Linked DNA regions of Arabidopsis thaliana. The protein of the gene in region 3 interacts with the protein of the main gene of each other region in a pairwise test. Each region holds a gene or a part of one and is shown on either strand. Other genes may lie near its edges.

Evidence for each region.
Region 1: the proteins of BBX28 (region 3) and COL9 interact in a two-hybrid assay, tested with the Arabidopsis thaliana proteins (one large-scale study listed by BioGRID).
Region 2: the proteins of BBX28 (region 3) and AT2G25650 interact in a two-hybrid assay, tested with the Arabidopsis thaliana proteins (one large-scale study listed by BioGRID).
Region 4: the proteins of BBX28 (region 3) and BBX12 interact in a two-hybrid assay, tested with the Arabidopsis thaliana proteins (one large-scale study listed by BioGRID).

The regions. Positions count from the first base shown.
Region 1 is NC_003074.8:2,438,197-2,447,290, reverse strand, and holds COL9 (CONSTANS-like 9), read right to left. Parts: upstream 5,723-9,094; 5' UTR 5,451-5,722; intron 4,829-5,450; exon of another isoform or gene 4,826-4,828; 5' UTR 4,798-4,825; coding exon 4,270-4,797; intron 4,169-4,269; coding exon 3,998-4,168; intron 3,905-3,997; coding exon 3,615-3,904; intron 3,520-3,614; coding exon 3,390-3,519; 3' UTR 2,759-3,389; downstream 1-2,758. Other genes in the region: AT3G07660 (flocculation protein (DUF1296)), read left to right, coding at 188-482, 659-817, 1,146-1,643, 1,732-2,016; AT3G07640 (period circadian protein), read right to left, coding at 7,630-7,758, 7,854-8,243, 8,841-8,940, 9,014-9,094.
Region 2 is NC_003071.7:10,910,163-10,918,012, reverse strand, and holds AT2G25650 (DNA-binding storekeeper protein-related transcriptional regulator), read right to left. Parts: upstream 3,503-7,850; 5' UTR 3,249-3,502; coding exon 3,012-3,248; intron 2,931-3,011; coding exon 2,007-2,930; 3' UTR 1,797-2,006; downstream 1-1,796. Other genes in the region: emb2410 (embryo defective 2410), read left to right, coding at 31-287, 397-635, 749-940, 1,032-1,304, 1,411-1,557; AT2G25640 (SPOC domain / Transcription elongation factor S-II protein), read right to left, coding at 4,105-4,305, 4,533-4,592, 4,968-5,088, 5,322-7,177. UniProt on the Arabidopsis thaliana protein: Probable transcription factor. May play redundant roles with GEBP and GPL2 in cytokinin responses by regulating the transcript levels of type-A ARR response genes. Involved in stress responses.
Region 3 is NC_003075.7:13,671,712-13,679,246, reverse strand, and holds BBX28 (B-box type zinc finger family protein), read right to left. Parts: upstream 3,711-7,535; 5' UTR 3,395-3,710; coding exon 2,810-3,394; intron 2,718-2,809; coding exon 2,631-2,717; 3' UTR 2,192-2,630; downstream 1-2,191. Other genes in the region: PHOS34 (Adenine nucleotide alpha hydrolases-like superfamily protein), read left to right, coding at 380-387; AT4G27300 (S-locus lectin protein kinase family protein), read left to right, coding at 6,899-7,535.
Region 4 is NC_003071.7:14,185,647-14,194,040, forward strand, and holds BBX12 (B-box type zinc finger protein with CCT domain-containing protein), read right to left. Parts: upstream 4,609-8,394; 5' UTR 4,401-4,608; coding exon 3,684-4,400; intron 3,455-3,683; coding exon 3,305-3,454; intron 2,942-3,304; coding exon 2,694-2,941; intron 2,607-2,693; coding exon 2,513-2,606; 3' UTR 2,277-2,512; coding exon of another isoform or gene 2,274-2,276; 3' UTR 2,268-2,273; downstream 1-2,267. Other genes in the region: AT2G33490 (hydroxyproline-rich glycoprotein family protein), read left to right, coding at 47-289, 648-701, 878-1,813, 2,009-2,020.

The DNA.
Region 1 (9,094 bases), on a different chromosome or scaffold from region 3:
CAAACAGAAAGTAAAACATTTTGTGCAGTCACTGATTTTCTGGAAGTCATGATAACCTTTACATTATGAACACTTATCCGAACACGAAACCCAAATTTTTTCACTTCTAGTTATTGAACTTTATGTCTTGAAATATAACTATATTTATATGACCAGTCCCTAAGCGAAACTTTTTTTATGCATTCAGGCACCCAACTGTCCATTCGATTGAAAAAGAAGAGGACGGTAATGTTTACTCCGAGTCACCTTCACAAGTTCCAGATAATATGGCTGGTGAAGGTAATACTGCAACAAATACAGCTCCAGAGTATGATGTCACCAAGCAGGAGAATATGTTGGAGTCCGAAAGCAATCAAAACTCGTTTGACCAGGTTCCAAGTAATATTATTGGGATTGTTCCTCCAGCTCCTGGGAACCAGCATCCACAATTTGAGACTTCTGACCCTCAAGCACGTGATGCCCTTCGTCTTCCCAGTTTTATGGTATGCCCTTAATTACATTAAGTTGTCAAGTTTTCGAATGGTTGATCTACTTAAACCATTAATTATACTTAGCTTATACTCTTCATTGATCAGTAACATTTTGCTCATTATATAATTTTTAGGCATTGTCACCTCTAATATGTCTTCGTAATGAACTATACTTTTGTTGTTTGAAGGGCCAACAACCTTTTGATACGGCGAGCTACTATGCTCAGTTCTACCGCTCAGGTCCTGACAGTGATGGCCGTGTTTCTCCCTTCGTTTCCCCAGGGGTTGCCTCCAAATTTAATGGGATTACAGTATTGCCTCCGCATTCATCTCAAACCATGCAAGAGGTTAGTGTAGTTTTTGGGGGTTAACCTTTTATTTTATTTTATAATTCACACCTTCACGATTTTGATCTAATTTAAGATGGTTTTGAGACTTTTTCGTTTAATTCAATCTTCCAACAGTAGCATCATCAATCAAATAGTCAAATTTTCATGTCAGCTACTTGGATCTAAGTCTCATTTTTTCTTCTTGATAAAATTGAAGTAAACCTATGGTTTCTAATTGGACTGCATATTTATATGTTCAGAAGCCCTATAACACGTTTGAAAGATAAAAATATAGCTGTTATTATTACTTTTCTGGTCTGAAATGCTTGAACATGTTGATTTGTAGGGTGGAAATAACTTGGTCCTGTCTACTGCTAGTCCACCACCACTGGTAACTCAAGCTGCTGGACTAATGCAGAGCTCTATACCTGTCACGCAGCAGCCTGTTCCTGTTTTCCGCCCTCCGGGCTTACATATGTCGCATTATCCACCAAACTACGTGCCATATGGATACTTCTCCCCATTCTATTTACCTCCCCCTACAATGCACCAATACTTAAGCAATGGTGCATATGCTCAGCAACCTCAGGCAAGCGGTGTATATCCTCCACCTCCTGGAACTGCAACAGGAGGCAAATACACACTCCCTCATTACAAGCCTGGGACTAATACAGGAAACATGACTCATGTCGGTATTACTGGTGGGTATGGACCAACATATGGGTCTTTCCCAGCAGGATATAATCCCACCTCTGCTGCATCGGCCGGGAATTCGACTTCCAATGAGGATCTCAACTCATTGCAGTTGAAAGAAAACAACGGCTACAGTACAACAGGGCAACAGGTACATATTCCCTCTCCCTCCCAAAACCAACTCAGTTGAAAGTTTAGTTCCCTTTCCTGATTAATTTATAATTGTGGGGTCTCTGCAGAGTGAAGCATTACCTGTATGGATTACTGGACCAGGACGAGATGTGCCAAGCTCTTTCTATGGTTTACAGCACCATGGGCAACACGTGACTTATGCTCCAGCACAAGCTGGTCACGTCGCATTCCCAGGTATGTACCATCCGGGACAAGCAGTAACAGCAACAGGAGTCCATCATCCGCTTTTACAACAGTCTCAAGGTGTGGCTGGAGCTGAAATGGTTGCACCTGCGCCTAACGTTTTCCAACAGCCTCAGCAAACACAGATGAATTGGCCAAGTAATTACTGAAACAGGAAGTATAAAGGAGAAAAAGATTTTGAAGATTCAACAAGTTTCAAATTCCAGAGAAATCAGGAAAGATATATGGGTGCGGGTTTTTGTTGACTTGCGTGTGTGTGTGTGTGCCATCTAACAAATTACCAAAGAGATGAAGCTATGAAGTTGAAGGCTTAAGCATGAAGGAGATTTACAGAGAGAATGATCATAAGGGTAGGGAAAGGTATTGTATGAAACCAGTGTTTTGGTGTTTTCTATATCTTTTTTTTTTTCTTTTGATTTAGCAAATTTTTTTCTTTCTTAGCTTTTAAGAGGTCTTTTTTAGCTCTCTTTTTAAGTTTCTGAGCTAAGACAAGAACTTTGCTACCTGAGTCTGTATCTGAAGACTCTTCCTCTCTTCCTTCTTTTCTTAGCCTTTGGTCAATGTTTTCAAATCCGAGTCAGCAATCAAATTGGACAAATTTCTTGCTCGCGAATCAACTTTCTCTGAATGTTTATTCCTCAATTCGAAAATTAAGGCTTGTGAATATGAGTCTTCAAGAAAATTCACATTAAGTTGTAAAATCCGAAATACTCCAAATATAAATGTTAAAAACTTTTGGTCCATATGTCATCTTGAAAACTACTGTTTTGCATCTCAATCACTTTTGATAAGTGTTCAAAATTGACATAGTAGAAGCTAAGTTTAAGTAAACAGCGATAAAGCGCCTAAACTCACATAAATGGACTCCCCTTTATAATCTGACATTTAAATAATAAAGTTCAGATGTTTTGCATTGCCTCATTGTTGGATCAACCTCTTGAAGTTACTACAAACCAAAATCTCGTTAAACTTGAACTAGTACTAGTCGGTTGTTACAGAACGAGACTTAGGTTAAGTGGTACCACATAACTTTCTTTGTCTATAGAAGAATGTGGATAATGTCTTTAATTTACAAGAATGCCGAGTACAAAACAGAAAAACATTTATGAGTATACAAACAAATACAAAGGCATATACAACAATCACATATTGTTTAAATTACTCTAAATCTCCTTCCCTGCCTTTTTAACTACCAAGAGAAGAACAAAATTCATGGAACCCTGATCAGTGTGAGACGCCTGAAGAAGAAGAAGAAGAAACCGGAGTTTGGACAAGGAAAGTCAGAGAATAATCCCTCTGGTCAAGAATGAAGCTTCTGAGGCCAAAAAAAACGATTGAATCCCAAGAATGAATGATTGCTTACAAGAGTCAGTCTTGAAATCTGTTCATGCTACAGTAGTCTTGTTTTGTTACTAACCCACAATTTTCCAAGTTGCTCACTTGAAACTGCCCATAAGTCAAAACCTTTCTTGTTCGATTCTTCGCCATGTATATATATCTATGTACCTTTCAAAAGGAGTCTTCAATAACTTCTGGTTGGGGTGAGAGGGTCGTAATCATAAGCTTCACCAGCTTTGACAAATCGCCCCTTTACACGCCGTCTCACATCAGCTCTTGCTTTGCGGGAAGCATACCTCACTCTCTTATCAAACCTGTTTCCAGAAAAAAGAAGCCAGAGTCACATTAGGAAAATCCTGCACTCACTTCAATGATGCTCATGTATTTGCAGTTTCAGACTACTACTTACTTGCGAGCCTTCTTCTTCTCCTTGTAACGCATAACTGCGTTATTACGGGTTACTGAATGTGAGCAGGCATTGTTATCCTGTAATGTTGGAGGATACCATGGTGGCTCCCCCGAGAGCTGTATGGAAGATGATGCACCACATTCTTGGAAATCTCCAGCACTACTTTCTCCAGTGACTCCAGAGAAGGATATGTTCGAATGTGCTGGCTTCGATGCGAAGCAAATTATTGGCTCAGTTTTCGAACTCATGAACGAATCATTACTGCCTGCTGGCTGCACCGAATTCCCTCCCTGGATTGAGCAAAAACAAGAGAGCATTATTAGAATCACACAGAGATGCATCCAATTTGATAAATCTAAGAAGAAAGGGTAATGGATAAAAACCTCTGGAGCTGTTTGGTGCTTATGGAAAAGGCTATCGATTCCACCATGCCCGAATAGCTCTTCAGAGGGGTTAAAGGCGGTACCAAAGAGTTCTTCATAGTTCTCAAGTGCCATGTCAACTTCATCCATACCAAGGTTCCCGTAGAAGTCATCTTCACACATTCCAACATCCTTTAAACCAAAACAAACAACAACTCTGAATTTAGTAAAGAAATGATAGATATGTATATCCATGGATGCAAAAGTAATAACATATTGAGAAAAAAAGTTACCTTAGCAGAAGATGATTTTCCTTGTGGTACAGAACTGGTTTCAGGAATTGAAGAGGATCCAACCAAGACATCTTTCTTATCCTCATTACAAGTTTTCTTGTCGGTAGGACCATCATCGTCTATATTCATCATACCCAGTTCTTGTTCACAAATAGATTGTCCAGCTAAGTCCAAACAGAAAGACCAAATGGAAGCGAGTTCTGAGCTGGAAGGGCAACCCGAATAGCAACTTATGGTTTGCCTCTTATGCTGCTGCGGCGAAGTAGAAGAAGACGAAGAATTGTTGTTGTTGCTGTTGTTGTGGCCAGACCAGTCACAGTTTTGACAGAGTGAAACCCTTTCTTCAACACACCTGACAGTAGCAGGCTGAGCATTGCATCTCTCGCAGACAAGTGTCCGAGAATGTCGTTTGGACAATGCATTAGCGGAATGAACACTCCGGTCACAGGAGAGACACAAACAAGCTGCATCGGATCGACAGTACACCATAGATCTTTGTTCACCACAGAAGTCACACATGTAACCCATCTTCCTTGGCTCTGACCAAATCAACTTTCTGCTGTCCAAAAAAGTAAACAAATTATTAGATGAAAAAGAGAGAGACTTTTGGTTCAAAAAAGCAAGCCTTGAAGAAGAAATAGATGGAATCTTTCTGAATATAGGTAGTAATTTCTAAAAAAAGGTTGTAGGAGATTAATAACCAAAGGAGAAGGATAAAAAAGGGAAAGGAAACCTACTTTCATGAGATTTTACTCAATACAGAGCTTTTATTATAAACAAGAGTCAGAGACCAAAACCTACAAATGGATATTACTGAAAATCGAAATAAATTAATAAAACAACAACAACTCAAGCTTCAAAGTATAAACCCCAGATCAGTAAATCTAGAGATTTTGTTTGACTTACTAGTTCAAATGGAACTGAATCGAAAAAATCTGAATTTCCAATAAATAACGAAAACTTTTGGATCAATCCCAATCATCATCATCCGAACAAGTTTTAAAACCCCAAATCAAAAGATCCAATTCAACAAAAATCAAAACCAACCCTTCATCGATATACAATGAATAATCAATCACTAACACCAATTATACAACAGATAGCAAGAAAATAAGAACACACTTGGGATTATTAAAATCAGAAAAGAAAAGACAGAGGGAGAAGAGAAACAAACAACTCACGTAAAGAAGATCCTTCTTGTGGACTACTACTATCTTCTTCAGAAGTTGAATCCAGAAACTTTAGAGACAAATAAACAAAGCCTAGAAACAGAGAAGATGATGACTATTCCAGAACTTCTTCTTCTTCTTCTTCTTCTTCTTCTTCTTGTTGTGGCTTCTCTCTCTCTCTCTGGAGGAAGAAATGAAAAAAAAAAATGAATGGATAGACAATGGGTGGGTGTGTCCGCAAAGGGACATGTAGGCGCTTCTGACATAATCTGATTTATCAAAAGTGCCTAATTTCCTTCCTTCTCTTTCTTTTTTTTATTAATTAAAAAGACGAAAAAGTGCAAAAAAGTTCGTGTAGGGTATTGTGGGTCCCTCTCGTATTTATAGTGAAAGCAATAAAATTTTTATGGATATTTCTTAAAGATATTACTATTAGAAAGAAAAGAAAAAAAGGTTGTATGTTTTTTACTCACGCGCATGCGAGTATTGAAGATAATCTACTCGCGACGTGGAAGTTACCAAGTGGCTAGTTTGTGCCATAATGGATTCTCAAGCGTTCACTTTTTTGATGCTTTTCGACGAATCAGAATTCAGAAAATCTCCCTCTCTCTCTCTCTCTCAGTCTCAGATAATAATAATAATAATTGATAAATCTGTTTGCTTTGACCTTACAAAAGCCAAAAATATCTTCTTCTTCTTCATTTTTCGGTGGGCGTATATAACAAAAATATCTTCTTTTGGTAGAACAAATAAAATAAATTAATGATATTTATCATTGAGGGGAGAGAGAACTGAATGAAAACCAAAAAATATCTGCCAAGTTAGATACGTCTGTATAACTCTTTCAGACCAGAAAGATATTTCACACTACGTCTACGTACTACTAGCCTTTGCCCCAATATTCTTCATAAAAATAATAATCATAAAGTCGCTGAAAAATAATGAAATCAATATGATAGATCTCTCTTTTGTCCTTTTTCTTTCCTCATATTAATATTGTTCACCGGTTTACTTAAACCCATTTCTTTATTTCGATTTCTTGGGTACTCGATATCGATTTATTAAATTGAGTAATATAAAAAAGCAAAACATGATAGACCAAATATGAAAGAATGATGGTTAAGTCTTGGATGAAACCCCACCTCCATTTTTTTAAGTGTCTGACTGTTTTCACATGTTTACAATTTAAGTTCCTATTGAATATACGATTTAGTACCACTAAATAATTGATCATAACTTCAGTTCAAAGTTTATAATTACAAGATGAGAAGTCGAATTGAAATGATGCATTGTTAATCAGAAAACTATTGTTTTTGAAATTGAGCAAGTGTTAATTTTTAAACTCATATAATATAGTATTAGTTAATGGTGAGTTAATATTGTGTTTCGTTCTCAATTAAGAAAACATCAAAATGAATTGCTCTTTATCCAGACTCGTATGTATCCAATCAAAGACGAATGATCAAAGACCCTAATTGGTTAAAATATTAACAAATCTGCCTGGCAAATAAGTGAATAGTAGTCATCTAATCAAATGATAATGAAAGCGAAAAGGCGACGATAAGACGCACTAAAAAGATCGAACAAGATATATAAAAACAACAAACAAAAAAAATAACATATGATGCTGAAATGTCAGTAGGATAAGATTCTCGGACGATCCGAAAAACTTTGGTACAAAACATCGTATTCCTTCTTCTTCATCAATATCCTATTATTAAACAACCGGCTTAGCAGTTAGCAGAGCTGACGACACCTCACTTATTTTCTCTTAAGATAACATTAACTATCTCTATTACTATACTTCATGAGTGCCTTTTATGGACTTCACACCAATTTTAATCTCTCTTTTTTTATGCCTCTCCCACCAATCATAACTCTAATCATTTGTATTATATTAAGTAATCCCACTCCTATGTTATGATCCTCCCATGAGTTGACCAAATATATGTACCTTTAAATCAAAATGCTTCTGAGAGTTTAAGATTTGGTTGAACCAAGTCAGCCCAAAAAAAAAGAAACTGTTTCTTTCATAAATAAATATCCTAGAAAAAGCAGAGTGACGTGGATTTGGTTCTGCTGAGCATAAGAATTTTAACAAAAGGGTACTACTACAATAGGGAAATTTACTGCAGGTCCAAGCAAAGACTGTAGCAGTGTTGGGCCATGAAAAAGACCTGACCTGTGAAGATTAGCCATAAAGAGCACGCCACGGACTTTCTTCTTCTTTTGATGTCTTTGATGCGCTCCACTTGATTCTGTCTCTTGAGAAAGACAGTCCTGTCCAACTAGCCACGAGCTCCCCTGTTTCATGGATCACCTGTGATGACAACAACAACACAAACTCGTTATTCAGCTGAAATCAACCAGCGAAAAACAAGCATAAACTGAGACAAAATTACTAAGTAAAATTACCTGAAGCTCTTCGTCTAGAGCTTTATGAGTTAGGCTATTGCTTCTTTGGCCTATGAGAATAGCGGTAGGCAGGCGTTTAACACGAGCTAGATGAAGCAAGCATGACAAAGGTTCATAATGGATCTGCATCGATAGTGGTGGTTTCTCGATGCGAGAAGCAAATAACCTACTGGTCTCTGTTTCTGTAGCAACTTGAACGTAATGAAGACTAGCTTTTCTGTTATTTGCTTCCAGGGATCTGTTATTGAACTTGAGCTTAGATGCCGCCACAAAGAAAGGAGCTATGATTGTGGGTAGAGTTGACGATCCCCTTGTAATTAGGTCCAGCAGTTCATTCATAGCACACACTAGTACTGGAGGCTCATAACTTCGAAGAAGAAAAATCGAGACCTTAAACAATATAAGAAATAGTCCGAAAGTTAAGCAATGAAATCATAGTCCAGAAATACACATTCAACAGAGAAACAAGAAAACATGATATCAAGTCTTGCAAGTTGCAAGATAACCAATTTGGGGATAATATTATCATCAAGGGCCAAAATCTGACCAAGCTTAGAAGACAGTCCAATATCATAAGTTAGGTTCCATTTAGCTGACAGACTGAAGAAAAGGCATTTGTTATTGCTTTTTCACTAGCCAAGTCAACACCTCTAAGCACTCTAACTTAAGCATATATAGAGACTTAGTTTTTTTTCTCATAAGGCTTTAGTTTCGGCAAATACAATTTAATGAAGACAAATCATAGTAACAGTTGCACATCCTTAAGAATCCAATCATCATATCACATTTTGCAGGTAAACAGAGTCGACTAATCAGAAAGTAATCAATCTTGTACAAATTAAGGAGACCACTATTCTTCAGCTTAACTATATCACTGAATAAAATTTCAGTTCTAAGAACAAACAACGACTATAAATAAAGCGAGAAACGAACTCAATTAAACTATGAAGATTAATAGAATATAAACGCGATTTAAAGAGGAGGAACCTGATAAACTTCATTTTCATCTACGAAATGAACGATACTCCCGCCGGTTTCCACACCTTCAACGCCATACTTATCCAACGGAAGCTGGATCTGTTCTTCTCTGCAGGAATTACAATGTTAGGCGGAGATAGTAAGTAAAAGGCGGAAATCGAGAAAGGACGAGTCGAGTTTACAGTTTGCGAAGAGGGGAACTAGGGCTAGGGTTTAAAGTATCAGAAATGGTTGCAGCAAATCCATCGGAATCATTCCAGAGG
Region 2 (7,850 bases), on a different chromosome or scaffold from region 3:
ATTCCGTGAGAGATCGTGTTGCCATATCAGTTGTCAGGTTGATACTCAGCTGCAAATTACTGGATCAATGTTGCAGCCAACTATATCAGGAAATATTAAATTAAGCCAAGGAGAAGCTTATCTGCCTCATGATAAGGGTGGTGGAGCTGCCCCTTTAAATAGATTGGCAGCCAATCAGTATAGTATTCCAGGTGCTGCTATTAATCAAGCAGTTTCTTCACGATATTTTGCTCGATTTTTTGGCACTGAACGGGCTTCTTCAGGGATGAAATTCTCTCAGTCGACTGGTAACCTACATGTTTACTAGCAAAATTTCTACGTTTTTTTCTATTTTAGTATTTGGACTTTGTATGTAAACACTTTTGTAATGATCTCGGTTTGTTTTGCCTGCAACAGGTAAATCAAATTCTGTTGAAAAGGAGATTGAAGAAGTGAAAATGAAACCAAATATGGATATCCGTCTGAGTGATATGAAACTTGTTTTAGGACCAGAGCTGAGGATAATGTACCCTTTAATTCTTAATTTTGCTGTTAGTGGTGAGCTTGAACTTGATGGCATGGCTCATCCAAAATTTATCAAACCAAAGGGTGTCCTAACATTCGAAAACGGAGATGTCAATCTTGTGGCTACTCAGGTTTTGCCTAAATCTCTGTTTTGATTTTATGTGGTGAACTCATTCATTCCATAATTCTTGCAAAGCCAACATGTCCTCGAGTAACCAACATCTATTTTGTTTTCTAAACACAGGTACGTCTGAAGAGGGAGCATCTCAACGTTGCAAAGTTTGAGCCTGAACATGGACTAGATCCTCTGCTAGATTTAGCCTTAGTTGGTTCAGAATGGCAATTTAGGGTTCAAAGTCGTGCCAGTAATTGGCAGGACAAACTTGTCGTGACTTCAACACGTTCTGTTGAACAGGATGCTCTCTCACCTTCGGAGGTAAATTTGAAGTTAAAATGTAGCTGTATTTTGGAAATTGTTGTGTTTTCTTCTTGATGGAAATCTCTGTTTAATAATCTCCCTTTCGCAGGCTGCAAAGGTGTTTGAGAGCCAATTAGCAGAATCCATATTAGAAGGAGATGGACAACTTGCTTTCAAAAAACTTGCAACCGCAACACTTGGAACCATAATGCCAAGGATAGAAGGAAAAGGAGAGTTTGGTCAGGCGAGATGGAGGTTGGTGTATGCTCCGCAGATCCCAAGTTTACTCTCTGTTGATCCAACTGTGGATCCTCTCAAGTCTCTGGCGAGCAACATATCATTTGGAACGGAAGTTGAAGTGCAGCTCGGAAAACGTCTTCAGGTCAGGCATAAACATTGAAATCTTCTTTCTTCTCCATATGGCCTCATTTTTTTCAAAACCTAACCAAAATAAGCACTCCACGGTTCTTGCTGTCTTTTATCTACAGGCCTCTGTGGTAAGACAGATGAAAGATTCTGAGATGGCAATGCAATGGACACTTATTTACCAGCTCACGAGCCGCTTGCGTGTCCTTCTGCAATCTGCACCTTCCAAACGTTTGCTTTTTGAATACTCTGCTACATCACAAGACTAAATCCTTTTGTCTTCCTCTGTCGGATTCATATGGATATAAGCCGTTTGTTGCAAAGGAAGTGCATTTTGGAATAGCATGGTTTTGGTGACTACCGACAAGAAAAATTATTTTATTATTTGGTCAGTCTTTCTTTGTGCACTTCTTCTGGCCTTTTAGTGGTTAAAAATGTAAAAATTACATTGTAAATGCCTTTTGTTAGGGAATGCATATAAAATGTTTTGCCACTTCATTGACTGATTGGTGCAACAAGAAAGTAATGAAATTTATTATATCCAACAATGGACATGGATGGCTCTTCTGGATACTTCAGTTAAAACTGGAATGTCTTACAAACACTTGCCCAAACAGAACAAAGACAACATCCAAAGATATACACTGAACAGACTAAAGCTTATGGCTTACTAAGAACCTAATTAACACCAAATGCTACAACGGCTTATTGGTTTCATCTAACTATCATTAGCTGCCTCTGCAAGCTTGGCGGAAAATCTAAGCTTCTTGATATTCAATCTTCTTTCCTCAACACATAACGCTTTCCATTCATCACTCAACTCTCTTCTTTTTCCAGTTCCAAGGTTCATCAGCTTCTCAAGCTGCAACTTCTTTTGATAACCACTTAAACCTTGCGACATTACAGCCTCAAATGCATCCTGCACAGCGCATAACTCATCATCATCATCGTCATCATGTCTCTCTTTTCCACCAGTAGTCCCGTTCTCTGTTGTTTTCGCTGCCCCATTCTCATTTACAAGTTCAGTATTAGCCACTTCCTCATGCTCCTTCAACATCTCCTCACTCTCGCTCTCGCTCTGCTGTGCTATTTGAGTAGTCCCGTTATTGTCTCTTATATTCTCTGCACCATTCTCATTAAAGGGTTCCTCATGCTCCTTCAACATCTCCTCCTCGCTCTCGCTCTCGAGCTGCTGTGCTTTCCGAGCAGTCTCGTCGTTGTCTCTTATCTCCTCTGCACCATTCTCATTTAACGTTTCCTCATGCTCCTTTAACATCTCCTCCCCACTCTCGTTCTCCTGTGCTATTCGAGCAGTCCCATTTTCAGCTGCGCCATTTCCGTTTACATCGTGCTCCTTCACCATCTCCTTATCCATACCATCATCATTACCAAATTCACCTTGTCCCCAAATCATCGAAGAAAATCCAAAGGCTTCAGAATCACTAGACCTAGTAAATTTCGGATCATTCCCTTCACTGATTTTCTCCCAATGAACATGAAATCTCCTTTTCAACTTCCTGATCTTACTCAAAACCTGCTCCTTGGAGAATTTCGCAACGATAGAACTTCCGAGGAAACTGTAAAACGCATCCCAATCAATTTTGGGATTGAATCCTGTCTTAGCTCTGTAATCAACTAATCCCTGAGAAATTTCGAATCTGGTTTTGAGAAAATCAGAATGCAAAACCAAATCAAAGTGTAACGGAGAAGATGAATAGAATACCTTTAAGATAGAGAGCTCATCTTCCTCGTTCCAGATCCGGACGATCAACGGCGGACCCAAATTCTTCTTCTTCTTCTTCTTTTTCTTCTTCATAGTCTCTTCGCCTGCTTCTGCTGCGAAGGAAGCAGCAGCACGCTTTGAGGAAGGATTCCGTGGAGATTCTCGATGGGAGAGGGTATCGTCGGAGTTATCACCACCACCACAGGAAGAGAAATCGATCTGCTTCGGAGTCACCATGGTAATTGCTTTACACTTGCTGATTCTAGAGGCATGCAGAGAAACCCTAAATCAGGAAATCATATTAACAAAATTGATCAGTGATTCCCAAATTTTCACGACCTTTAAAAAGTGAAACCCGAGAGAAAAAAAAGCTAGTCTTTCCAAATTTCTGAATCGAGCTGGTCAAAAAATATCATGACTGAAATTTTCTCTGCACTTCTGTTTTATAGTATAATCGATAGGAGTGGATTTTGTTACTTTTGTACTTTTTGTTACAGAAAGGAGCAATATATTAGCGGGCTGCGCAAGCCCATCTTACTAATAAAGTGCCAAATATCGGTGACTGTTGAGAGAAAATCACAAAATTTGGAAAGCAGTGTTGCCTGCAACAGAAAATGCATAACAAACACAAAATTGCTAAGGTGAAACAAAAAACAATTAATATCCTCCTCTGCCATCCTGATGAGACCACCACTCACTACATGGTCTAACCATCGAGCCACCATTTACATGAGTAACCCCAAGAGTCCAGTTAGATTGAGGCTGCCACTCTGGTAGTATATCATTGTCATTATCATTATAACTTTGGTTCCTCAAAGGTTCAGATTTTCCATATTTTTGAATAAGCTCTCTTACAGATACAGACCGGCTTGTCCGGTTCACGACAACATCCCCACTGGAAAAATAGTTAAATTCAGGCAAGTCATCATCTTCATCCCGAGCCATGGTCATTGGGCCAAACCCCGGTGGCACATCATCACCATCGTCATTGTTGACCTGTAGCATGTTACTGTAACGAGAAGTATTATATGTGGTTAACGAAGAACCCTTTTCACGGTGGTTCTTGTGAGAGTTGTTAGATAGTGGTGATTTTTTAAATTGTGTGTCTTCTCCATACAACAACACCTATAAGACCATCATCATTTATAGATTTCAAGAAATCGAGTTGGTTTCTCGGAACAATCTTGTTTAGAATCTCGACAGTTCTCCCACGGGTTGGGCATAGGTATAGCTCAACTCCTGAAGCTGGTTCTGCATAACCCACCCTCCCATCTTTAGCGTATGAATCCACCACCTGTATAGTAACAAAACCAAATGCCCAAATTTCGTTACCAAGTTAGACATTCTACAGATATTTAGGAGTGTTTCAATTTAAATTCGGTTTGGGTTTTCAGTTTGTACAGATTCGCGTTCAGTTTTGATCAAATAAATCATTAATATTCAAATAAATCTCAAGTTTTTTTAATCATCTTTTCGTTTATTTGGATACACAGAATCTTGGTTAACTACCAACGCTCATACCTCGGAAATGTTCTCTTGTTCTGTCTTTGAGCACTCTTCTTTGCAGACGAAACACATAACCTGTAACACGAAAGCAAGGTTTCAGAAGTACCATGATGGATAAACGAGTTCATCACATACATATAGAATCGAGAACAAACAGGTCTTAGTTTTATTGGAATATGGAGGCCTATTCAAGAAACATAAGCTATGCAATTGTTCTGGTGAAAATATTTTTGTAAGTCCATCTATCTCCATTGTGATTCACAGATGTAATGTATTTTTCTCAATCATTCACAAATCAGTATTGGCCGTTAATCTCTCCTCTTCTTTCCTAAATGCTTCTACTTAAGCTTGGTTAAACGTCACAGTTAATAGCTTTTGCAGGGGCTCAAACACAGAATGCGTATATAAAACATGTACATTAATGATAGAGGTAAACGTGTAGACAAATACCATTACAGCACGACTCCTGGAATTTGGGAGCTCTCGAACAAACTTCTCAAATGCATCTAATCTGACTCTACCCTTAATCTCGAGCAAAATAGGCCACTCTTTTGTAGTAGTCTTTTCGCCACTGTGAAGCGTAAAAATCAGGTTGGTAAACATGGTATCAATAACAGCGAAGCCATATTCATTAAAAAAACATTTTATAGAGCTGATAAGCACTAGAATAGTATAGATAAGTAGTAACATGTAGACTAAATAAAGAAAGCTATTCATATATGCAAACCTAAATTTGGAAATGTGGAATAAAAAAAAAATACTGAGATAGGTTTGCTACCACTCATGAAACAATTTATTACAAACCTTCTTAGAATGCCGATGACAGAGCTCACAGTAGAAGGACTCAGCTGGAGCACACCTTCCCATAAACGTTCACCATCAGGTATGAAAACAGATGTAGTTTTGGATTTCAAATCAGAACTAGGCTTTGACGATACTATGTCAGCATCCTCAGCGTTAACAGGTGATGATGCCTTAGCCGTAAGTGGTGACAATGCCTCAGCCTTAACTGGTGATGTACAAAGATCAATATTAGCACTTTCTTTGGGTGATGAAACTAAAACCTCCTCTACATCATTATTATCTGAAACAGAAGGTTTTTTCTCAGTATCTGAAGACAAAAAGCCAGACGGAGATTCAGAATCTATGGATGACATGAATTCATCAAGAGAGACAATTGGAGGAAGAGATCCAGTGGCAGCCTGCATCTCATCATCTATTGTGACTCCGTTTATTGGCCCAGTGCTCTCATTAGAGCTGTTCAATTCATTCTTGACTCCAAGAGTTTTCGTGATGGAAGGGGTTTTCTTCTTAAAATTCTTTGTTCGAGACCAGTTAATCGAACTCATTCCAACAGAGACCTCTACAGAACCACTATCCATTGGTTCAACTTCCACTTGGAACTCTCCTTTGTGTGTTTTCCTTACTAGGCTTCTGATATCCACCTCAGTGTCCTGCAGAACAACCATCTGAGCCATCTCTTCTGCTTTTGCTTGTCGCCACTCAGCTAGTTCCTTTGAAGCAAGTTCCTCTGCTGACATGGAACACAATCGCTCTGCTGCAATTTCTCCATACATAACTTTTTCCCTGAGTTTAGGATTACTCTTGTCTTTCAAATTGAACAAGAGAGACCTTCCTTTCTCTTTATATTTCTTATTTACACCACCAAATAACTTAAAGAGTTCTGTCTCTATTTCAAATGCCAAAACTTGTGGATCCAGTAACAATTTTTCCAGGCTCCCATCATTAGCCATTGCACCAATCATTTCATTTTGACAATTGACAGTAAACTCAATGTCCGACTCGAGAGCCCAAGAGAGGTCATTCCCTTGCAAAAGATCATCTTTTGAAAACACATTGTCACTATATGAAACATTGTCTTGCACAAACGGTTTTACAGCCTCAGGTACTTGGGCATCACTTGTCTTGGCGATAGACAAAATCTCCGGTAACACTGTCTGAACAGAGATACCCGCAACAGGACTAGGATCACTGAGGGTCAGCATCTCAGTACTTCCATTAGATACCATCACATCAACTCCAGAAGCAGCTGACACTGGCCCACTAACATGACCTTCTAGAGGATTAGCTACAGTCTCACTATCTAACATTTTCGACTCGTTAGGAACATCCATTTGACACTGTACCATTGCCAATGCACCAGCTAAAGATTCTCTCATTTTAGACCTCACAGAACCAGACGACTCACTTTGAGGTTTCAGCAACATCGGTTTCTGTAAAGTCGGTTTTCTCGCCGCAGCTTGCTTCCCAGGTTTACTAAAAGAAACAAAACTATTCTTACTAACAAACGAAGCAGGCAAATACTGTGTTCTAGGGGAAACAGAAGATAACTGCACAGGCATTGGAGCAGACGCCCACGGTCGACCTTCCATAGGTAATGCCATCCGTTTATTTTGCACAGAAGGATGCAACGGAGATTTCCGCTTACCAGGTAACAGAGTCTTATCCATATTAACTGATCCTAAACCAACAACACTAGGCAACATTACATGAAAATCTTGTCTCCCACCAGAGATATGACTACAGATTGGTTGTGACAATCTCATTTCCGGATTAGAAATCAGCTCAGGAGTGGGAGTAGGGACATTAATGAATTGACCCATTTGCATACAAGGCTGAGGCAATAGATTGTTGGACATAACAAATCAATCTAACAAAACAAAGGCTGCAAAAGAAAAATGACAAAGCGGATTCAGTGAAGATTCAAAAGATTTCGTAACAACAAATGTATCGACATTGATTCAGCTGTTATTGGTTCTCATTGAAACAATTGATGATTTAGTGAAAGAGATGATTAATCGTGACCAATGGCAATGATATGAATCTAAGCTTCTACTTCATCAATGTTATAACAATGTAAGAAAGAGTGAATGTCTAATACCTAATCTGAGAAGCGAGGAAGAGAGATCAGAGGCGGCGATTGGGAAGAGAAGAGCATGAGTCTCTATAGTGAAGAAGAAAACCCTAAAGGGAACTTAGAGAGGCATGTGAGAGAGATGTGACGACTCTATAATTAACCTCTCTAATCTATTAATTCGTTATCTATAGCTGCTCCTTAACCGTAATTAGCTTTTCAATTATAACTCAAATAGTATTAAAAAATTATGAGAAAATAGTAAAAAAAATTGTTGTAATGATGCAGGCATAAACTGTTGTCTGTGCTAAAAATATTTTTCCAAATGAATTAGAGAGATATCAATATGAACTAAATTTCTATAATTTTAACTATTTTTATTTAATATTAAAAATAGATCATTAATTTTTATTGAAAATATTAGATTTTTAAATTATTAATAATTTACCACTAGTGAC
Region 3 (7,535 bases):
ATCTGGTTGGTGGCATTTTGTAAAACTTGACTAGGGAAAAACTTGAGAATAGAGTGATATAGAAATCATAAGCACTTCTCTTTGTTTGATCTAGCTAGTCTATTGCTAAGACAGCCTTTGTTATACACTTTTCTAGACATATGATAACTGTGCGTAAGATGATGCAAAATAGCTATGAATTGTCAAAGCCTAGGTTTGCAAAAGAAAATGTACATGATCTTTTCTTGATTGACTCCTCTTGTGAATCTTAGTTTCAACTCTTACAAGTTGACACTTGTAGAAGGATATTTGACATCAAGCTAATTAATTAAAACAAGGTTGTCTGGGTATGATTTTATTATCCAAAGCGAATAACTATTGAGCCCTCTTCCTTTTACAGATGAGTAAAGTGCCTTAGTATCTCATCAGGTTCACCCTCTTCACAGTCAGGTAAAATATAAACAACCTTTTCAACTTTGAGTGGTCTCCACCGACCATTCTTTCGGGTTTTTTTCTTATTCTTTTGGAATTCGTAGGTACAACGATGGATGAAACAAAACGGATTTGTGCAGAGGAGTGTGTTTGTGTGTTTGTTTATTGCTATCTTTTGCAATATTGAAAAGTCTCTGGAATCTCCTCTGGATTATTTATTCCCAGTCCTTGTTCTTCTTATAATTCTCCATGTATGATTTTCACATTTAAACAATGCCCTTTTCCATGTATGACTTTCACATTTAAACAATACCCTTTTGGGGTTATGACCTTAATCTTCAATCTAATTTGATATCCGATGAGATACTAAAAGATGGAATCTATTTTGGTTTTTAACACTTAAAACAAATCGACCAAAGTATTCAATTATTCATACTAATTGTTCATCCGTTTCCAACATTTATGTTACAACATAGATTATTTACAACATTTATGTCACTCACACTTTACACATAATAATATGGTATGAATTAATGTTAAAAAGGATATGCTCAACTCTGTCCTCTTTGCATGGTTTCCATTCTAGATAAATATCTGCACAGAGGATGTTTTTATTGTTCCTTTTTCATTATTGTGATCTACACTGGCTGACTTAGAGCTCTTCCGCACTTCTCTTTCCCTAACAACTCAAAGTTTCTTAAAAGAGAAAAAAAAACAAGTTTGCTAAAGAATTATCATGACAAGAAAATCAATTTAGAAGAAAAGCACAAAGGAACAAAAAGAAGAGAAGAGAAATTCACATATGTATTGTGACAATTCTCGATTCTCATGCATACATTTTCTCATGAGGAAGCTACCAAATATGGAACTAATCAAAAAATCATTTCTATACTCTCGCATGTTTAATTTATTGATCCAGTCATAGAGTTTCAAATGACAAGTTTCATATCTCCTGTTTCCAGTTTTGAATTATTATATTTGGAATTGACGATGTCGTGTGAATGTAAATTACGTTATGGTTGAATAAAATGAATGAATGTTAGGTTTGTAGTTAATTAGTGTAGTTTAATCTAATAGTCAAACTCAACGTACGGGATAAAGACTGATCCGTTAGGTTTTTGGTTTGACTTTAGGAATTGGAACTATGGACTAATGGTTGAAGTATTTGACGCTAGTCATGCGTTGATAGTGAAACCCAGCGAATTTCCTAACAAATATTTTCTACTTTCTTATATCGATTTTATAATGAGTTTAAATTTCGAATGTTTTGTTTTGTTTTGTTGGAATCGTATAAAAACTTATAAATTGAAACAATATAAGAATTTGCGTTAAAAGAATATGTAGTTTAAATGAGAACCACATGTTTTATTCAAATTAATTCGAGAGAGACCCAACTGTCCAACCCCCACAACACCAGTTCCTCGGTAAGCCAGAGAATCAAGTGGTTAAAAAAAAGAAGGGATAAACGGTTTTGATGTATGTATATAGGACCCAAATGACACACACGAAACCAATAGGAGTAAAATTTTAAATTAAAATCGAAAGAACTATGGTGAACAAAGATGTGATCCTGTCATGTGAATGAAGAACATGGTGAGATAACGTTATAAGGTAAAACATGGGGGTGTCAATATTTTATGGACCATCAAACACAGTTCACAGACGCGGCAGATATGACAGGTTCAATGTTCTTGGCGAATGAATGTAACCTCAAGGACCCATTACATTATAAAAATCTCTCGAAATTTTATCATATTTAATTTCATTTTCTTTGTAGTCCCCACAATTGAGTGGTCGAAATTACAAAGCAAATCATATACTTTATTTTTACGGTATGTGTATACCATTGTGTCCATCTGCCACCAATCTCTCCCCCATTCCTTTTGATCCATTGAATATAATCATATAACATAAGTCATAAACTTACGAATCGAAATTAATTTACTTACGTAGATTAACAAAAAAAAAATCAACATAATAATGATATTGATAAGAAAAATAAAAAGTTAAGATTTGATTTTGTACGACATTCAAAGAAAGAAAGAAACTACCTCATCTCTAAAACAAAGTATTGTCAGAAAACTGAACGGTGGTGATTTACTTAAACAAGAAAAAAAAAGGAATCAACGGCTGAGATCTCTTCTTGTTTTGGAGATCGCAAAGATCGGAGAAGACGATGTATCGGCGCCGTTCATTCTGACGATACGGTAGAGTGTGAGTTAAACAACAACCGTTGATTTAAACGCCGATCGCTTCAACGGCCGAGAATAGTTTGACCCTTGAGCTGAAGAGCTTCCGATCTCATCCTGCATTTTCCAAAACAACGAAACCGATAATTAAAACCAAAACTTTCTCTGTTAATTTCCCGACAAAATAGTTAAAAAAGATAGATCCATACATCGGAGCAGAGAAGATCTGAATTCTCTCTAGCCCTCGTCCTCTTCGTCACTGAACCTCCGCTTCCTCCGTCAGAAGATGAAGAACTCATCACCGGAGGAACTTGCGCCGCCGCAGACCACGGCACAACTTGATTCTCCGCTTCCTCATCATCACCATCCTCATCATCATCCTCATCCTCATCGTCGCTGTACTCTTCATCCTCATCTTCTTCCTCATCATCATCGTAAGACTCCGCGTCGTCACCGTCACCGTGATCTTCTCTAATCCGATCTTCTTCGGACTCGAAACTATTAACCTCCTCCTGACCACGATTCTCCGATAAAACTCTGTTTCCACGGCCACCGCCGGCGTTTTTAAGAGCGACGCATGACTCGCAGACGGAGAAAGTTGGGCCAAGACGAAGCCCAGTAGCTTTCCACGGCGTAAGAGACTGACAAGCGCTACAGAGAAGACAACGCGTGTGTTTAGCTACCAAGAAATTAGCGCCGTGAACTTTACCGTCGCAATCCCAACATAAACTAGCTTGATCTGACTCGCAATACATTCTTGCAACACCGTTACATAAATCACACTTCTTCCCCATTTTAATCAAAATCAAACTCTTTCTCTCTTTCAAGTTTCTGTGGTTGTTCGTTTTGTGTCTATGCTTTGGTTCCTTGGAGAGATAAGGAAAGAAGAAGAAGAATAGGAAAGTGCAAGTTGCAGGATTTGGGATATTTTTCGTGGCGAGTTTTCTGTGATTCAACAATTCTTTGGAGGCTAGTTTCGTCTTTTTCTGCCTTCTGCTAAAAAATCTATTTCTCTTCTTTGGTTTCACAATGACTCTATTTTATATAGCACCTTCCTTTTTTTTTTATTCTGTGGTTAGTATCCATTTCATTTCAATTTAACTTTGTAATAACGTATAGTATTTAATCAATTAAGGATTGGTTCAACTTAAAAATCTTTTTGCTTTAGAGATGGGTTTATCACTTTAACCTTTATTTGAGATTTTTGTTTGGATAATTATCAGATCTATATCTGCTGCAATTATTTAAATTACTTGAGTCAGTAATGTTTTCTTTATTGTTTTTAGCTTTATCCTTGTGTTTTATTTTTTCTTGTGGATAAAAAATACTGTTTCACATTTTCTACTTAGAATCATTACAGTTTAAGTAAAACACATTAATTATGCGTTATTAGGATAAATAAGTTTAAATGATTTTTGAAAACCAGTTATTAATGCGTATGGGCCAAAGCCAAACCCCGTTTGTACGTGGCGACAAACTCATGGTTCAGTTTCGAGATATTTTTTTGGGAGAGATTTATTTAGTCGATGACGTGGCGAGATCTCAGCCGGGGAAGGAGGAGAGCGAGATTCTGTCCCGTCCTACGTGGACGAATCAGGTTCTCAATGGGCTTCGTAGCCACGTGAGCCCACCTGGGATTTGTCTGGACCATAACACAAGTTTAATGGGCCCCACGTATCTTTGTTCAATTATCTTTCCCTCTTTTTTTATAAACCACTTGTTTTGTTTTTTACTTCTCTCCCATACTTCTTCGCTTCCCAAACTGATCCAAAACATCTGTGTTTCTTGCGAGGATAAGATAACAATGAATTTTTAAATTACAAAATAATATATCGGTATTGGGGGAGAATAAAAAACTTTCTAATATGGTACATAGTAGGCGAGTATTTGTTTACTTGGACTATAATTGTTTAATGTTTTTTTTTTTTGTTAGATATGGTTATTTAATCGTATAGTTGATTTATTTGTGGCTCTCACGAACCCATTGTAAGAAAAACAAATGTTGATTAAACTCTGGCCACATAAAAGATTGTGCTTATGTGGAATGCTTTGATTTGGGGAAATCCTACGTGGCGATCGACGGTGGTGTGAAGAATCAAAGGAAGATGAGATGTCATGATGAGAGCCACGGATACACAAAGTCTCTGGTGAGTGGGTGTGGTTGTGGTTATGGCTCATTATTGTGGCTTTTCTTTTTCTTTTTTTCCTCCATTGTGTGGATAAGAATTTTGGAACAAGTCAGAACTTTGAAGAAGAGAGATTCATATTCAAAATGTGTGTGTATATATAATATTGTCAGAATAGTTCAAATACATCCCTTCTTGTTCTCATCTTTTAAGAGATGTGGCATGTATCATGTATGTATGGGGCTATGCGATATGCAGTATTGATGCCAATTTTTGTCAAAAGAGTTTTTTTTTGTGTGTTTTATTAAAAAAAAATATTCCAAATAAAATTAAACGCCAAAATTTGAAAAACTAGCTGTTTGTTTTCTGTTTATCTTTGATTTTATTAACTTAACTATTCAACCACTAAAATTAAAAATGCTGGATTGTTTGTTGTTTTAAACCAGCTTAATGAATATAAAAGCACGCCTATTTTGTTTGATTGGTGATCGATCTAAATATCTAATAGTCTAGTCATCCCATCCAATTTGGATTCGAAATCCTATCTTTGGTTAGAACGATCAAATTATGCCAATTTGTTTGTTAAACATATATATTTATTAGAAGACTACCATTTCATTTTAATTTAGAGAAGTAACCAATGGTTTCGCTTATGTCAAAGTCTTTGATTCAAGGATCGATAAAATTTGAATAAGAAAATGTTGTAACGAACAAATGAACATTCAATGATCCATCAATAAATGTTTTATGTATATATATATATATATATATATTCTATATTTGAATAAAACCAATCAATAATTCTACTAATGCTCCCTACAGAAAAACCACACGTTAAAAACCCTTAAAATATATCGACACGATTGTGAGAAAAAGACTAGCAAAGAGACAATGCATAAGCTAAGAAGGCCTAAGGGATGATGATTAACATGGGCCTCTTTTTGTACACGTTTTTTCTTTCCTTTCCTTCTTTGCGTTCACGTTTCTTGGTACACGTATCTCTTACAGTCTCCACGTTGAAGTGTAAGCATTACAGAGCTCTCTCGCTAGAGACAACGATGATCTTATACCTGTTACGTTCATGTGCCAAAATTAGGTCTTCATTTTCTATTGGTACATGTCAGTTTGGGCCATCCGGTCACTATTATACACATATGGTCTATATTTTTAAAAAAACTTCTTACTTGCCAAATAATTGGTCCACTAAAAAATAGTCGGAAATTACAATAAACCGGACCCTTAAAATCAATAGGAAAACTCTGGATCTTGGCTTCAACTACTATTGTTGTAAACTAATGTTTTTTCGCCTCCAAATTCCAATCTCTATTTTCCTAGTGAAATACATTTTATTAACAAATTTGCGAATATGTTAAAGATTTTGAATACTAGTAGCCAAAAGAAAAAAAAAAGAAAAAACTGTTGTTCATGGAGGCTTATTTAATTTCTAGAAACGAAGTTTCTGTTCGATAGAGGTTCATCTCGATCGATCATCAAGGAATCGACTTGGAGAAAATAGACAAGAAAAGGTTTCAGTCCACTACGAAAAGCATACTTAAGAAAATGGAAGCGTGGGCCGTATATGGGCCTTAAAACAATTAGATACAGGCCAGCTACGTCTCTAAGTTGAGTAGTATTTGCGTTGACTGAGCCATGTCACGTCAGGACTTCACCTGTGGGTCGCCAACGATTGGCTATATCCACCAGATCAATAATGCAATGCATGAATTTTACTTGAATCGTCGCAATGTACATATCAAACTATCAATGATCTGATTCTGACCACTCGCTCCCTTATATGGTGACTAAGTCAAGGAAGATTAGCCACATCTATTTATTGCTTTTGTCCTTGCTAGGCTTATACACTCTTAATCTGAGAAACTTCCAACATGGCCATCAAAACTTAATGAGGAATCATATCTTGTCTCTGGCGTTCAAACAAAACACCCTAATAATTTTTTTTTTCATTCTGAAGAAAAGTTTTATCATTGAAGTTCAACATCCACAGACAATCTGCATTGAATTTATCTTGACTTGTCGCTTATGCCAAGTTGGGTTGTACGAAGTTGACAAAAAAAATAAAAAAATCTGTATGTGATTTTCATAATGTGTATTATAATGATTGCTTTATTTAGTAAAGAGTCACAAAACTAGAAAGAAAAAAGGTTTCATTCGATGAGAGAAATTCATTCTCTGTTTTCGTTATCTCTGTTCTTAATTTCATCTTCTCTCTCTGTTGCTTTGGATTATAATGTCATCACTCCAAAAGAATTCCTTAAGGATGGAGATACCCTTAGTTCTCCAGACCAGGTTTTCCAACTTGGGTTCTTTAGTCTTGACCAAGAAGAGCAACCTCAACATCGGTTTCTTGGCTTGTGGTACATGGAACCATTTGCAGTCGTTTGGGTGGCCAACCGAAACAACCCTCTCTACGGCACATCTGGATTCTTAAACTTGAGTTCCCTTGGCGATCTTCAGCTATTCGACGGTGAACACAAAGCCTTGTGGTCATCATCATCATCATCAACAAAAGCTTCTAAAACAGCAAATAATCCTCTCTTGAAGATATCATGTTCAGGGAATCTCATATCTAGTGACGGAGAAGAAGCTGTGTTGTGGCAGAGTTTTGATTATCCCATGAATACAATACTCGCGGGTATGAAGCTTGGGAAAAACTTCAAGACACAAATGGAATGGTCTCTATCATCTTGGAAAACCCTAAAAGATCCATCACCAGGTGATTTCACGTTGTCTCTAGACACTCGAGGTTTACCACAATTGATCTTAAGGAAGAATGGAGATTCGAGTTATT
Region 4 (8,394 bases), on a different chromosome or scaffold from region 3:
TCACCAGAGCACTCTGTTGATATCACTTTTTTGTGTGGTTTTGCAGTTATGCTTCTTCAAGAAGGCTCTTAGTTCCCTTGAAGAAGTGGACCCACATGTACAGATGGTAACCGAGTCACAGCATATTGATTACCATTTCAGCGGATTAGAAGATGATGACGGGGATGATGAAATTGAAAACAATGAGAACGATGGTTCTGAGGTGCATGATGATGGAGAGTTGAGTTTTGAATATAGAGTTAATGACAAGGACCAAGATGCGGATTCTTCAGCTGGTGGCTCCTCAGAGGTGATGGTTTCATATGTTTACGGTTCTGATGATATTTCCTGTTTATCCTTTTTAGTGCATTGGTTATCACTAATAGAATAGTGATATTCGATGTTCCAATGTTTCTCCCAAAGGTGACCTAAGAAATTATAAATGAGGTTAATACAGGAAGCAATTTGAATCTTTTATCAACAAAAAGGTCATATGGAGAAGAACATTTTTTTCTGGACCACTTGCTGCTAGAGATGACGAATGATGAATGCCATTTAAAATAGATCGGTTGAAATTGTTTAGATTATCAGTCTTGAGTAATTTGAATCTTGTGCTATTTTATTTCTTAAACCCGTTTGCTTAATAAATGTTTGCCTAATGCATGCAGTTGGGTAACTCAGACATCACATTTCCACAAATTGGAGGACCATATACTGCACAGGTAACACAACCATGCTTTATTTTTGATCACATCTTCTCTGCTTTTCCTTTCAAATGACGCAGACAAATTCTCAGGAAGCTCATAGTTCAAGGAATTTAATTTCTTTCATCTTTACCACGAAAACCACCCAATTTATTTCTCTCTTACCAGTCTTTGTCTTTTTATTTATTTACCAGGAAAATGAGGAAGGAAATTACAGAAAATCTCATTCGTTTAGGAGAGATGTAAGGGCAGTGAGCCAATCAGCACCACTTTTTCCCGAGAACCGCACAACTCCTCCTTCAGAAAAGCTGTTACGGATGCGATCAACTCTGACACGGAAATTCAACACTTATGCATTGCCAACTCCTGTGGAAACAACGAGAAGTCCCTCATCTACTACAAGTCCAGGTCACAAAAACGTGGGGTCATCTAATCCTACAAAGGCAATTACAAAGCAGATTTGGTATTCATCCCCACTTGAAACTCGCGGACCTGCAAAGGTTTCCTCAAGATCAATGGTAGCCTTGAAAGAACAAGTCCTGAGAGAGAGTAACAAGAATACATCTCGGTTGCCTCCGCCTTTAGCAGATGGACTCTTGTTCTCTCGTCTCGGTACACTCAAGAGACGATCCTTCTCTGGTCCACTGACAAGTAAACCGTTACCGAACAAGCCTCTCTCTACAACATCTCACTTATACTCTGGTCCGATCCCAAGGAATCCAGTTTCTAAATTGCCAAAAGTGTCATCATCTCCAACTGCTTCCCCTACATTTGTCTCAACCCCAAAAATAAGTGAGCTCCATGAGCTTCCTAGACCACCACCAAGAAGCTCTACTAAGTCCTCTAGGGAATTGGGATATTCAGCTCCCTTGGTTTCGAGGAGCCAATTGCTTAGTAAACCTCTTATTACAAATTCAGCTTCTCCTCTTCCTATACCACCTGCAATCACTCGTAGCTTCTCTATACCTACTAGCAACCTTAGAGCATCAGATTTAGATATGTCTAAGACAAGTCTGGGCACTAAAAAGTTAGGCACTCCCTCGCCTCCTTTAACCCCAATGTCATTGATCCATCCACCGCCACAGGCTCTTCCCGAACGTGCAGACCACCTAATGATGTCCAAACAAGAGGTAAACCATTAATTTTACTTCTTTTCACTGTCTATTAGTTTTTTGTGTGGTTTAGAGTAAAAAAGTCATCATGTGTGTCACGTTTAAGTAGATGTGGGCAATCCGATTTTTGGTTCCCTTCATGTGTTCCGCAAAGTTCTGCTTAAGTGTAAAATCTAGAATTGCTGATATACGTTCTAATTGGTGAATTTGCAGAGGAGGATTTAAGATGTAAGGTGTAAGACGTTTGTAGCTGCCTAAAAACTGTAGGAGGAAGGCATTCCCTATAGTTGCAGATATATGTAAATATCCTCCAATTTTTAGTCTCATGGATGATCTTAGTTGTATATTACATATAGTAGTTGATCCCTTTTGAGAATGATGACAAAAATAGAGGCAAACAGAGTTAATAATAATTGCCTGAGGAATTTTGGTTTTTCTACTATCACTCAACGAAGCTTTTTTTTTTTTTTTTGTCCAGTGATGTGACATGTTTTACGTCCGAGATTTACGGGTTTAACTTCTGTGGAGTCTGTCTTCTTTTGATTGGGTTAAGAAACTTTGCTTCTAGAAGGTTAAACGTAAAAATTACAAAAATCTGGCCACACATTATGCAGCTGAAGATCGATCATTTACATTTACAAGGTAGTTGAAAGTAGAAAAAACAAAAAAAGTTCCTAACTTAGGATCTCAAATGTAAAACCTAACGTGGAGAGACATCTAAGGATCTGTAGCTTTCACAAATCTGCCCTTAACACGCAACCTGGTCTCGGCTCTCGCCTTCCTCGTTTCATATCTTATGGTCTTATCATATCTGCTGAAGCAATTACAAATTAGCGATTTCGAAAGACAATCAACTTACAAAAGGGAAACTAAAAGAAAAAATGGAGAACATCATTACCTCCGCGTTTTCTTCTTTTCCTTGTACCGCTGCATAGCATTATCTCTGTTCTGTGCCATCTGCTCTAGATCAGCATTCGTTACCGCCACCAATCTTGTGGCTCTATTACTAGTAATAGCAATATGTTCCGTGCAATGCAAGCCACAGGAGTCGTTAGAACTTTTATGCGAGTGAATGGCAGCAGGAATATTGTTGCTCTTAGATGTTTCCTGTCCCTTGGTAGAAGTTGAGTGGACGGAATCCTCCTGCTACATTCTACTTATAAGTATCACAGTTCACCGACAAAGATATACCAAAAATAGTAGTTTGACTTATCAATTATGATATAAATACATCAGGTTTCATTCATTCCAAGATGTTCTAACCAATAGAAATAAACCCATGAGATGTAGCTACTACCAGACCAGTATATCAGTCACCAACTTAAGCTATATATGAGGGAATATTCAAATGTTTAAGGTATGGAGTGTTTTGGGATTGAATTTAGGGATCGGGGGAGTTTATTGTCTATAGAACAAACTCTAATTACGTTCTGCAATGTGCGTTGTGTTTGTCAATTTGTGAGATAAATAAAATGGTTTACAATTCCAAACCTAATAACAATGTAATACCTGGTAACTCTCTTTGAAAGCATTCATATTGGTGGTTCGGGTATCGTTCTTGAGATGAGTAACGTTGTTGAATGTGAAAGTAGAGCCTTTAGTTTCGACTGGACTAGGTTCATCAGGGTTCCTCGACTGTCCCAAGTTAAAATCCCATATCTGCAACAACGTATATTCCACTGTGAACCCCAGGCCATAAAACAGAGTCTTATCTCTAATTAGGACAACCAAGAAAGAATAATCAACGTTCCGACAGGTAACTTAACAGATTTGGAGACCTAAAGATCCAACTGAAGTTACTGTAACATGTTCTAAGCACAAAAGCAAGAACACATGACCAAACTTAAAACCCTAAAATCAATTGCCAGAGAGAGATAGAGAAATGGACCTGAGTGTTCTGGCCAGTGCTATGATTAGTAGCATTCCATTGCATACCATTACCACAAAGACTTTGAGACATAAGCAAAGAAGTAAACGACGTCGTCGGAGATGGCTGAGAAATGCTTCCTCCGCCATTGATTCCCTCCGGAACCATAATCTCTCCTTCGCCTTCAACGAAGCCTCTCTTCAGTAACTCAAGCTGTTCAAACACTACCTGCTTAGACCTCCCAAAGCTAAAGCTTTGCTTTTTGCAAGACACATCATAAGGAACAATCAGTTCTTGAACGATGTTAGATCCAGAACCCCACGAATCCAACCCCATCCCAAAATTCTTAGTCAATTCGTCTTCGTCATCTTCTTTCTTCTTACCCTTTAAATCGATTCCCCACACAGCAGCAAGCTCCAAAACCGAAGGACAACCTGAAAACCCTTCCACGGCGGAGCGTTCATGCGTCGCGGAGGAGGAACAGCTTCCGTGAACATCCCAATCACACTCCTGACACAATACGAGATTATCTGTGAAGCAACGTACGGACACCGGCTCTTTGCTACAGTTATCACAGATCTGAGAACGAACATGCTTCCTCGAGAGAAGGTTCGCCGAGTGCACGTGCTGGTCACAAGGCAAACAAAGCTTCGCCGTATCGGCTCTACAAAACAGAACCGCCGTTCTCTCGCCGCAAAATTCACACGCCACCACACTCTCTGTAGTAGAAGTACCCATTTTGTGTTTAAGATGGTACCTTCACAATCCCTTAAAATCTCGCTGATTTTATACAGTGGAGAATAAGATCAAGATGACGAAAGGTGATGAAGTGATCGATGGAAGAAGAAGAAGATGACATAGACATAATCTCAAAGTCTCAAGCTTTCGGTTTTGCAGTGAAAGGAGAAGAAGAAGATGTCATTAATTGAAAATATCTAACTGTTGTACCGGAAATAAAGTTGCATTTACATAGGTAATTAATTACTTGAGAAATAATTGGCTGCATTACAGTGTATGGATTTAGGCACATTAATTGGCTGCCTTTCTTTCAGATCCACGCACAAGGATTTTAGCCCATGTTTCTGCTAAGCCCAATTCTAAGCCCATTATTTGGATGGGACGTTAGGATGTTAACGACATGATCGATAAGGAGAATATTTCACATGTACGAAGTTTACTAACTCGTAAATCGTTCCAGATGATCATTATTTGGCAATTTAGAAAACAAATAAGTCAATATATATATACTAGGAACATATCCTAAATCCAGCCATGAATTCACACCAAGTATCCAAATATCCAAAAATCTTGCAAGTTCTGTTGTAGCACATCTTGAAACATTGTGCAATGTCATTTTGAATGTCAATAACAACATTCTATTTTTGACATTGGTATCTTGGTAACGAGATTGCTTTCTTGGTCTCTTTTAGAAAGGTTATTATCTTTTAGTCGAATATCAATAACATATCTCTAAGAATTGTCCAAAACTCAAGATGTTTGTCCATAGGTTTGGAATATAGTAAACGTTGGAAATAAATTACTGATTTCCACTTTTCAATCGGATGAGGATGTGTTTTTTACCTTTTACATCCATCTTTGATTCATCTCTTAAAGCCATGTTTTCTCTCATTGATTCATCAAGCTCAGCGAACATAATTTTCCTCCCACACATGTGTCGCTTTCACCTATGTGACAAATCATTATTGGTTGTGTACTTGTGTTGTTATATGAATAGAAGATGAATGGTGTTACAATCATTGCCCATTATGTGGTGCGAGAAACAAAACATCCAACCTTTGCTATTTTCCTATGCCCTAAGGTTTTTTCACATGTTACTTAGCTATTATGTGTTTCAAACTCACTTGGAATGGATATTCTATATTCTTACTTTTACGAATTTTGATTCTTTATTATGTAGAAAACCTACAGAAAATCACGTTGTAAATTCGGTTTCGAAACCATAAAGGACTTCAATATTCAACTATTCTTTAACAAGTGAACTTTTATCATCTATATCACTTAAATCTTTATTCTCTATATCACTTGAATTCATAATAGAGAAACGAAAATTTAACTAAACACAACCTTTAAAGAACCCTTAAAAAGTAATTAAAAAAGAAGGAAAGTGAATTATACTAAACAAAAGATTATGTTAAAATTCGGATTCTTAAAAATCTTCTAGGGAAAAAAAAGCAAAATGGAATATGGATTCGATAAGGAAGGAAGGAGAGGAGACCCACACACAAGAACAGAGTGACAGACACAATTTGGCGTCTCTTTCGATCTGAAACATCTCTGTCTCTCCTCAGAGATTCCCTTCTTAGGTCCCATTGTCTCTCTTTCTGTATATTACAACTCTTGCAAACCTTTCTACCACCAAGATAAAATTATTATTTGGTAAAAAGCAATATCTTTAATTTTCTAGGAAAAAAGAAAGAAAGAACAACACTGGATTGAAGTGGTCGTCGCTTTCTCTTTCTACACTTCCAACAGATTCCCTTTTGCACTTCTCTCTTTCACTCTTTTCACTATTTTTGTTTTATCATTATTTTGTTTACGGAAACGTCATTTTCCTCCAGACAATACCTTTATTCCCTATATATATAATGGTATGGTGTAAAAATGTTATTGCCACTGTATATATTGGTCTATCACAATTCCTTCTCTTTATCTTCCTTTTTGTATTTTTGCAGCAACAACAAAAACGTAATTTATAGTTAGGTAGTTATCTTTCTTTGCATGTTTTGTGTATGTACGTAACTAAGAATGGTAAGTTTTTTTTGTTTTCCCTCGATTTTACCAGTTCAATAATAAACGTTATGCAATCTGAAGTTAATTATACATACATCTACCTAATATTCTATTAAACCATACTATATAGATATAGCATGCTTCATGTTAGTACCTAATATCTTATATAGTTATATATCACATGGTCTTCAATTGTTTGGGTGAGAAAACTATATTTATTGGCTTTCTTTTCTCATCTTTTTCATTCCTTTGTGTATTGTTGTTTCGTAAACTTTTTAGGATGAAAGTAGGAACATGGTGATCATGGTCTTGACTTTTGTAGTTTTTATTTTTGACGTGATGTTCTTGGCTTTATTATTCAAAAGATGAGTGAAGTGAGGCATCAATATATGATAGTTTTCACAAATTTAATAATTGCAGCTAAAGATCGAGAGCCTTTGCCCACATAAAAAATACTTTACTCTAATGTGTTAAAACAAATGTTGACATTTTGCATTTACTTTCTTTATAATTTGGTTGACTTTCTCTAAAATAAAAATCTTTAGTTCTTCAATTATTTTGCTCCACCCATCATATTGCATTATTAGGCTTTAGCTATTTTAAATTGTCATCTCACGGCCAGATTCATTTCATTTTCGAGGTTAGTACTTGCTGTCGTATAGTCATTCCATCCTGAAAATATCATCCTGTTTGCTATTGACTTTCGATGTATGCACCAAACCTCAAGCTAGCCATCGAGTTTTAGATTTGAACTCACATATAACATATTCTTATAAATATTTATTGGATTAAGGTTATAGTTTGTTGTATTCACTCTATTCAAATATGAATGGATTAGATGAATATGTAAAAGGTGACCGTCTTAGCAAGAAGATTGATGTGTTATGCATTAGACTATGTGAAAAATCGTATATTGAATGTAATCGTGACTATACGTGCATGAGATGAAAGTGATAATGTGTGATCGATTTATAAAAATATAAGTATGAGGCTATGTGATCTGGTTTTGATTGAGTGATTTGTGGATCTCAATTAATGTTTGTAGACGAGAATGATCTTCTAGATTGAATGAGTTGAAAGCCGTGGTAAGTCCTAGTTATCATTGGATGAAGGAGGAGATTTATAGATTTTTGGATGTTTCGAGTAGATATTAAACAGTAGAACATAGTTGGATTTAAATTTTAGTAAAGGCTTAATGGCTTTAGGATATTATAAAGTTGATCATGAACAATATTTAGGTTGGACGGTTCAAGTTTCTCATGAATCAAATATTCAAGTGCTAATTGCCGAAAGGAAATACTGAACCGAATTCGAACTGAACAACCACAAAAAACAGCTAATGTAAATTTGTTTGAGAATATTTTTGATAAGAACTTGAATCCAATTCGAAACCGAAATTGTACCAAACTTTTTATATTTTATATCACATCAAAGATTTTACTTTGAAAACCATTATTGATAACAAAAAATCCAAAAACTCAAACTAAAATTCAGATTAAACACCGGTTTACCATCTAGGGAATGGGATTAATATAACATAAAAAATACTAAGTTGTTTCATTTAATAATCAAGTAAGATTTTGCAATGCTAAAGAAAAACGAAATAACAGAATAAAGGAAGTTCCGGCATTCTTTTCGATATCTACGTTGATAGTAATATTTAATTTAACAGAGTTTTTCCTTCTTTCTAAAAACAAAAATCTCAGGTTTACCAACTTTAACCCTTCCCAAGATTTTTCAACTTTTATTCTCCTCTTATTTTAAACCGGCCACTAACCGATAACACCACGCGCCTAAACCCTCGCGTGTGAACCTAATGGTCATACGTTTTCAAGAACACGGTAACACGGACGTGAGACAAAAGTGCGAGAGAGCCTCTGTGGTCACTTTGGTCTCTCTGACAGCTACGGGTCCACTTTCTCTTTTACCCAAATATCCCCACGCGCTTCTTTTACTTGCGCGTGAACTTTCAAAACCAACC